2 linked regions of the Tribolium castaneum genome follow. The protein of the gene in region 1 purifies or fractionates together with the protein of each later gene. This does not show direct contact. Links are inferred from orthologs where the notes say so. Each region holds a gene or a part of one and is shown on either strand. Other genes may lie near its edges.

What was found. Proteins that work in one complex are often made in the same cells at the same time.
Region 2: the proteins of rempA (region 1) and IFT43 purify together in Homo sapiens (affinity purification with mass spectrometry; 3 studies listed by BioGRID and IntAct, counting the BioPlex papers as one, with this or other methods). This does not show direct contact. The link is inferred for Tribolium castaneum from reciprocal best matches to the Homo sapiens genes IFT140 and IFT43.

The regions. Positions count from the first base shown.
Region 1 is NC_087399.1:1,787,973-1,792,322, forward strand, and holds part of rempA (intraflagellar transport protein 140 homolog), read right to left. Parts: coding exon 2,722-4,350; intron 2,341-2,721; coding exon 2,054-2,340; intron 2,003-2,053; coding exon 1,749-2,002; intron 1,211-1,748; coding exon 684-1,210; intron 640-683; coding exon 222-639; intron 173-221; coding exon 1-172. UniProt on the Homo sapiens protein: Component of the IFT complex A (IFT-A), a complex required for retrograde ciliary transport and entry into cilia of G protein-coupled receptors (GPCRs).
Region 2 is NC_087394.1:35,543,829-35,547,922, reverse strand, and holds the start of IFT43 (intraflagellar transport protein 43 homolog), read right to left. Parts: upstream 2,840-4,094; 5' UTR 2,736-2,839; coding exon 2,694-2,735; intron 2,649-2,693; coding exon 2,500-2,648; intron 2,453-2,499; coding exon 2,426-2,452; intron 2,371-2,425; coding exon 2,257-2,370; intron 2,203-2,256; coding exon 2,013-2,202; 3' UTR 1,950-2,012; intron 1-1,949. Other genes in the region: TBC1 domain family member 12, read right to left, coding at 4,092-4,094. UniProt on the Homo sapiens protein: As a component of IFT complex A (IFT-A), a complex required for retrograde ciliary transport and entry into cilia of G protein-coupled receptors (GPCRs), it is involved in ciliogenesis.

The DNA of each region.
Region 1 (4,350 bases):
TTCCCACTACTGAACAATAACTGTTTCAATTCCCCTAGTAATTGTTTAGCTTCGGTAAAATTCCCACTTTTGATGTACTCCTGTATCATTAGGGCACAAATATCGCCCCTGCGAACCGATTCTTCCAATTCCTTGCCTCCGGTCATTAACAACTGGCGACATTGTGCAATGCCTACGATAAAAAACGCAAAAATTGGGCAAAAACCTAGTTAAATTTTTACCGGCTTGGTAATCCCCCCGATCAAATAATCTCCTAATATCAACAAACCGCTTAATCATTGTGAGTCTTTGTTGGACGATTTCGGTCGCTCTCTGATGTTGGCTTGAGTCCCTGGGATTGCCTATTTTAGCCAAACACCGCGACGCCTCAGTCAAGGCCCCAAACGCCTTTTCGTAATTTTTAAATTCGTCAATCTCGACTTGTGCACAAGCCACGTAAAAATTGGCCAAAAGATCCAAAGCTTTGCCTTTCGAATAAAACGTAATAATGTTGCGTAAAATCTCGGGATTATTTTGCCAATCCAGCGATTGTAAATAATTCGCTGCCATTATGTAAATCTCTCTTTGGCGCGAAACGCCCGCGAAAAAAATGATTTTGTCGGTATCGCCACTTTTTAGCAACGCTTTCATTGCCCGAATCTAAAACAGTTCTAAAACGGCAACCAACAATTTTTTATTCTCACCTTATCGCCGGCTTGTGTGAATTTTTTCGTGGCCAAGTGGTAATTGCCTTGCAACATTAAACTTTCAGCCAACGTTTGCAAGACATTAACACGGTCCGCTTCCTCCAGTTGGTCTTTCTCAGGTGTTAACTTTTCGGCTAAATCTTCAGTCAGTTGCACGTTATGTGTCAGACAAATCGTGATCGCCTCTTTGTATTTTTTCGCAATTGCGAGTAAATCAACAGCTTTGTCGAACTGTTCGTTTGTTACAAAATAATCGGCGCATTTTTGCACCAAAGCTGGGTCACTATCAGCGTCCAAGTCTGTGGCGATTTGTTGGAGAATGTCGTATTGTTGGGCTTTAAATGCAAGGTCGAGGGCCTTGTGCAGCATTCCGGCCCTGTGGTATAAAATAACCGACTTGTCAAGGGCCCCAATTTCCTCGAAATAGCGCGCACATTCCAGTTTTTCGCGAGTTCCGGCAACAGAGCCGATGTTCCATAATTCGTCGCTCATGTGGTTCTCTTTGCAAAGTCGGACCGCGTTACCTAGGAAAGAATTATTCTGTCCAAATATCAAAAAAAAAAATCATAACTCGAAAACTAAAAGACATAAAGCCAAACGGTTTGTTCCATTGGATTCTGCGGCTCATTTTACATATTATACCGGCATTTATCCAAGACTAGCCTGCTCAAGAACTTAGTTAAAAGGTTATTTTGAAATGAAAAATGGTGGATGCGCCGAGCTAATTATTAAAAAATTCATAACTCAAAAACTAAAAGTCGTAGAGCAATGCGGTTTGTTCCATTGAATTCAGCGGCTCATTTTACGTATTATACCACCATTGTTCCAACACTGACTTATTCCAGAATTTATTTAAAAGAACTTATTCCAACGTGAAAAATGGTGGATGCGCCAAGTTGAAAAAATTCATAACTTAAAAACTATTGCTAACTTCGCGATTTTCTCGATGCCAATCGATTCCCCGGATCGTTTTACGTAGATTTACATCAGAATAGTTCCACTTTTTCGAATAGTTTTGCCGTAATTGAGAAAATAAAAAAAAATGAAAATTTCTAAACTTACTGTAGGCGTTAGCCTTTGTGAAAAAATTCACAGCCTCTTCAAAATTCCCTGTCGTTTCGTAAAACCTAGCCATGTGATAAAAGGCGGCCTTATCCCGTCCCGACCTTGCCAATTCAGCCGCTTTACTTTCCTCCCCAAGAAAACAAAGCACCCTCACTTGCGAATAAACATCACCTGCACTACTATAAATTTTCAAGGCGGCTTGCATCTCCCCTTGAGACTCAACATACTGACCCCACCACTTAAGCAAATCACTAAAAAACAAAAAATCATCACACTAACAACAAACCCCAACTTCTCCATACGGGTCTTTAGTTTTTCCCATATAAGTTTCAAGTTGTTGCGGTTGATCTAAAAGCATTCTTGGAACATCGAATTTATGAGTGTTGGCCTTTTCGTAACGAACAGCCGCCTCTTTAAAATCCCCCACGGCTTCAAGGGCTTTACCCCACGCGTGGTCAGTGTTTTTCAAATGGATGCGATCTTGCGATTCTGCAATGGCATGAGCAGCGTCGAATTTATTCCGACTTCGGAGCAATTTATTCAAAAGGTCGTAACGCTGGCATTGGATGTACAATTGCTCGGCCTCGTCCTTCAAAAATTTGGTAAAAAAACCACTACCGGAAAAAAACCGCGCACAAGAAAAAACCCACAAAGAAAAAATTTTGCTGTCCCGTCCGTTATTACAAACATACATGTTGCTCTTATTTCTTACGTCGTTAAACAACGCCAAGAAATTTTAATTTTCACTACATAAATAATTTTTTTAGAGTTATTTTCACACACAAGATTTTTTGTCCCATCCGTCATATGTAAACAAATAGTAAATTTGTAAAAAATAGTTTGAATTAGTGCCTTTTAAGTTAACAGAATTTTAACAAAAATATTTAACGATAAAAATTCAAAGCCTCATTTGTGTCACGTCCGTGATCCATGTGAATTTTTTTGTGGGTTTTTTCACGGATTCACTTACAAGCATCCCCAAATGTACGGCCAAAACGGCCAACTTCGCCTCATGTGGCAACGAATAATCAGCCACAGCCACTCGGAGTGCCATCGCAGCCCGTGCATTGCCCATATGCCCCAGACAAACCCCAGCCACATCCAAACGCCTCGTCTTGACACACATCCTCGCTAAACTACCCCAAACGCCCGGATTTTGCACCAATTTAATCGCCTTAAAGGCCTCATCCATGTTACCAAGACTCAAATTATAACTAAAATTCAAAACAGCATCGCGCGTTTCCTTATTACAACTTTCAAGCCCGTTAAAATCACTCATAACGTCCCGAACTATGACCAACTTCTCCAAAATCACCAAATAGGGCGTAGCCAAGGCCAGTAACCGACTCTCAGCCTCCACACCCCTGATATCGTGCATTTTAATCCCGTGTTCGGACGACACAAACATCGTTATAATAATATGGTCCTGATCCTTGAGCGTAGTTTTGGTATCAGACCGCGACCGTTTCAATTTTTTCTCACCCAAGCCTAACTTGACTTTTTTCGCATCACAGATTAATAATCGCGGGTCATGAGCGTCCCAAAACAAGTGCAAAGGGATGCGATTCGAGCAAATTTCGTCGAAAACCGCAACGGTTTCGTCGTCGTTTGACGAATCGTTTTGTTCGGTTCGTTCGTCGACGCTGAATTCGTCCGGACTTTGCTCCAAATCAAAGTTACCGTACTTGTGGAAATCGTACGATAGCAAATTGTCGTTTTCCACGTCCCAGACGTACAAGCGCCCATCGGGCACTAGATTGGCCGCGGCTAAAGTCAGGGCGATTTTATTGCCGCTTGAGTTGCTTTTCGCCTGGATTATTTCGCCAAAGTCCGGGCACATGTCGTACAAATTCCGGGCCGGAATCGACAGTTTCGCCTCATTCTCGCCCAGTTCGTACACTTTCATGTAGCCTTCGATTGTGAAAATCGTGAGGTAATTCCCCGTGACGTCGAGTCCGATCGGTTCGCCCTCGTGTGAGGGTGACACGATGGTGGTTATAACCGAACCGTTTAATTGTCGGAGTGTGACCGCTTTCGCGGTCAAAACAACGATCATTTTTTTGTGGAGTAAAACCTTCTCATTGTCACACGCAAACGTGCTGATTAGTTTAATCGAAAAGTCGGCCGAACTTTCGGTCTGCTTGGAAATGTTCGTATTGAGTTCGAACTTTTCCGAGTCAGACCCATCCCAGAAAATTTCATAAACTAGAACACGTCTCCCATTTGTGAAAATTGCAAACGTGTCATTGATACACATATCAGTGATTTGTGTCTCCAAAGTCAACAAAACGTTGCTTTTGGCGCTTTCGACAAGCACCTGACTGGCGGTTTTTTGCGTGCACCAAACCTCATCGGAAAAACACGTACAAATCGATTGTTCCTTCATTATGTAAACACACGTGACGCAATTAACGCTCAATAACGGGAGTCTTAACTGAACAGAACCCCACATTAATTGTTTAACGGTTCCGCTGACCGTATTTACGTTATTCAACTCCCAACAATCCTCGGGATTTTCCCCATTGTTTGTGTTCCTGGTCCAGAAATAAATGCGGCCAATGTTGGTGCCCGCACACAGAGTTTGGTTCAATTTGCAGAA
Region 2 (4,094 bases), on another chromosome or scaffold:
CTACGCCACTGAATGCTCAATCTATAATTGCGGATAAATTTTGGATAATTAGTGAAATAACATAAAATTTCACTAAACTGACCAATATCGATTTTATAAAACTGTATGTTATTACTTGCAATAAAAATAATAGCCCCCAATTACGTGGCTTCCTTTTAACCGAAAACATTATCCTAACACGTTTTTTTAATATACCTCCCAATGATAATGACAAACGTTATGTGTGCCACATTACTGTTCTTCTTGGCACTACTTTACCCCTCTAAAACCATTTTTCAAAACGACTTTGTAAAAAACCATTTGAACAAATATCAATTATTTGGAAATTACACATCTTGCAGCTACTTTAATGTTAATTTACCAGACACGAGACACATTTCCGACGACTTCCTCAAGCGTAACTTATGTCCATCGCTCACCATAAGTGATTTTTTTACCGAAACAAGCATAATGTCCAAAACGCAAGCTGCTTTTATCTTTATCGAAGATCTGAACGAAATCGAAAGAGATATACAACGGATACAGAACTACACACTTTGGAATGTGAGAGGCGAGACACACCTCATAATTTGTAAACGAATTGATTCGGTTGCGTTTTTACAAAACTTTGTGAAAACTGTATGGAAAAACCACATACTTAATTTCGTTGTTGTTTTTGTGCAAGAGACGTTGCAAATTTTTACGTACAATCCATTTATTGATAGAATTTTGAATCTGACCCACACTCCCGGATATTTTCCGAACAAATTGCAAAATTTGCATGGTTACAACCTCAGAGTCGGTTTTTTCATAAACTTCCCTCTTGTAAACAAATCGGACAACAAGTGGATAGGGAGAGACTACAATGTTTTGGAAATGGTCACAGAAAAGCTAAACTCAACGTTCCAAATTATCGAACCACCTGAAAATACGCACTACCAAGGGTGTTACAACGATATTTTAAACGGGCTGACAGATTTTTGCTTCGTTAGTCATTTCAGAGGCCCTCATGCGTACGAAAACGCAGAATTTACGTACCCCCATGAAATCAATGGTTTGGCAATTTTGTTGCCGTTTAACGAAACGTCTAGTTCTGCCACTGTTATCCTGTTCGAGGTGATTCCCATGATACTTTTTTTAGTGGTAATTGTAACAGTTTCAATTACGTCACTATTGGGCGAAAGTAATTTCCGAAAATTGCTTCTTGTGACAGTGTTATACATTTATTCGAGTCTTTTGGGTTACCCCTTTCCCAACCTGAATAAGAAACGTTGCAGTGCAAAAATACAAATTTGTGTTTTTATTTTTGGCTCAATTATCTTCAGAACGGCATTTCAGTGTTTCCTGATTACTAATTTCATGACAGCAAATCCGAGTAATCAAATAAATTCGGTTGAGGAATTAGAGCAAAGCCAAATACAAATTTACATTTCGCATCCTTTGGCTAACCGAATTTCCGAAGAGGACAGTCTTCGCAAACGTTTTATTTATCTCGATAATAGGAAAAAAAGGACCGAGATGATCTACAATGATTTGAACACGTCTGGAGCTTATGGCTTGTCGTGGAGTTCGGCAAAAAGTATCGAACTTATGATGAGAAATGAACATAAGCGAACTGTCTTTTATGTAATGAGAGAAGTTTTAGTGCCGAGTCATAGTACGTATATTTTTAAGAAACATTCCCCTTATTTGGACAAAATCAGCGAGTGGTTGTTACGAGAACAGCAATACAAGGTGGTTAAGGACGTTCCAAAATATAATTATGATAGTTTTTCGTCTGATAATGAAAACGTTTTAAAATTCCATCACCTCAAACATGTTTTCTGGTTTCTGGCGACTGGTCTCGGAGTCAGTTTTCTAATATTTGTCACAGAAATACTGACTAAGGCTTTTTTTAACAACGTACATTTATATTTAGGCACTTATTGTAAAATATATAATGAATAAAATTAATTTAAAAGTGCTCTGACCTGCAAAATGTGTGCATAAATACATCCTTGTGGAAAAAAAATGTAAAAAAAGTTACGATGAAGTCATTGTTTCGTAAGGTCTTGATACAATGACTCCATAGTCCACACTTCCGTACATCTTTGAACATCTTTCTCTGGATAAAGTCTGCTTGTTAAAATAGACAAGTCTACATCTCCAATATTTCCAAAATTTGGTTGGCCTGTTTCAAACTGACTATCCAGTTCTTTATAAGTTGATTCTTTCACAGTTATGCTACACGAGAATAATCAAATTAAATAATTAACATTTTCCTACTGTTTTACTCACTTAGGGACCTTTACATCAGGCAAATTAAGTGGATCATCGGCAATATCATCAATGTCAGGTATTACTGGAATATCATCCTCAGAATCTTGTGGTTTTTCATTTTGAAAGCGTTCTCTAACGTTATTTAATAATAATTTTACCAAAATATTACTTCAAAGTGCACACTTACTGCTCAATTATATTTGATCCTTTCACCCTAAAAGTTTGTGAGCACTTCTCACTTGCGATTTCAATAAAACTTACTTTGCAGATTTTACGCCCTCATCAGCCCATCCCCCAGTTTTCCTAGTTCTTATAGGCACTTCTGGTGGCGTTTTTTTGGTTGAACTTTGTGGCTGATCTTCTGGACTTGCAGGAGCATTGCTTGCCCGCCGTCCGTGTTTAGTAGCAGACTAACCTATAGTTAAATAATCAGTTTTCAAAAACATAAAACTTACTTTCTTATTTGGAAGTAAGTCTATGTCTTCGTCCCAATTCATGCTAGATTTGTTTGTATTCAACAAAAATCAATTAATTTACAAGTTGGGTTAGAATAAACATTAAACAGCCACCATGATAACCAATGACACCAACATTAAAAACTAAAATGTCTCAATGTTAAAACTTTTATTGGGCGACTGCTTTTTTAGTCCAAATAAATAAGGTACAGTCAGGTACATTTCCTGTTTTATTTTTTATAAAATGTACATATCAATTCAATATCTTAATTTCCATTGTATACGAATAAAAAAAATAATCTTACTTAAATGTTAACAATACAAACAGTTCATAAATCATAATCATGCCTGTAACTTTAAAAGAAGCGAATATCTACAAGATCCCTAAAAGAACAAATGTCATTTTACAAATGTCATATTATTTTAGTCACTTGCTATCGATAAATTATTTAATAAATTATGCATATTATCTTAAAATTACAAAAAATAAAATGAAGCATTTTCATAGATACAAGTTGTTTCAGCGTTTTTATATACATACATACTCGTATAAGCCGTACCAAAGAATGACCGTTTTTACATCCTAGATCCTTACTGGAGTCTAGATATAATGGTTCATAAAAATTAGTTAAAGTTAATTATCAGAAAAAGGTGTAAAAACGGTATATCCTCTGTACGACTTTACCACTGCTAAAATAAATTCAGGAGTTTGCATTAAATTTTTTATATTGTACAGATGAACCATATAATTATTGCTACGATGAGACACACAACAAAAACTTACTGCAAACTTCCTATTGAAAACTTTAAAATCACAATTACTTTTAATTTTTTTAATTATTCAGACAGCCAACAAGGAAATTACATTAAGGATGGCCGTTCTACAACACCAAATTGAGAAATGTTAAAATCTTTACCAACCTTAACACAATGTCGCCAACAATGGATTTATCATAATTTTACACAGCCTTTGACTAAAATGTAACTCTGTTAAATATGAACATTACATATATAAGTTTATCTAAAAAAAAGTTTAAAACCATCTTTAAAAATGACAAAAATTTGTTTTCGTAATTACACATAGTATCAAACAAAGACAATGGCAAGTTAGAGAAGATAAAGAGTAAACGATACTTTCAAGCGTAATTTATCGTTTGTTAAAAAGTATATTCACCTGAAACAGTCAGAAAATGCATAAGCACCTTCAACGAGATTCTGTAATTATGTAACTGGACGGAAATAAATATGATATAATTATACTGCAAAACTGCATTTCAAGCTAAAAACTAACATACAAATCTGTTTTCCTTTCATCTAGTTCAAGTATTACTTAATTGAGTTTCTTTCACAAAACCAACACCTAAATAAATATCTCTTATAAAAACAATTGGAATTTTATTA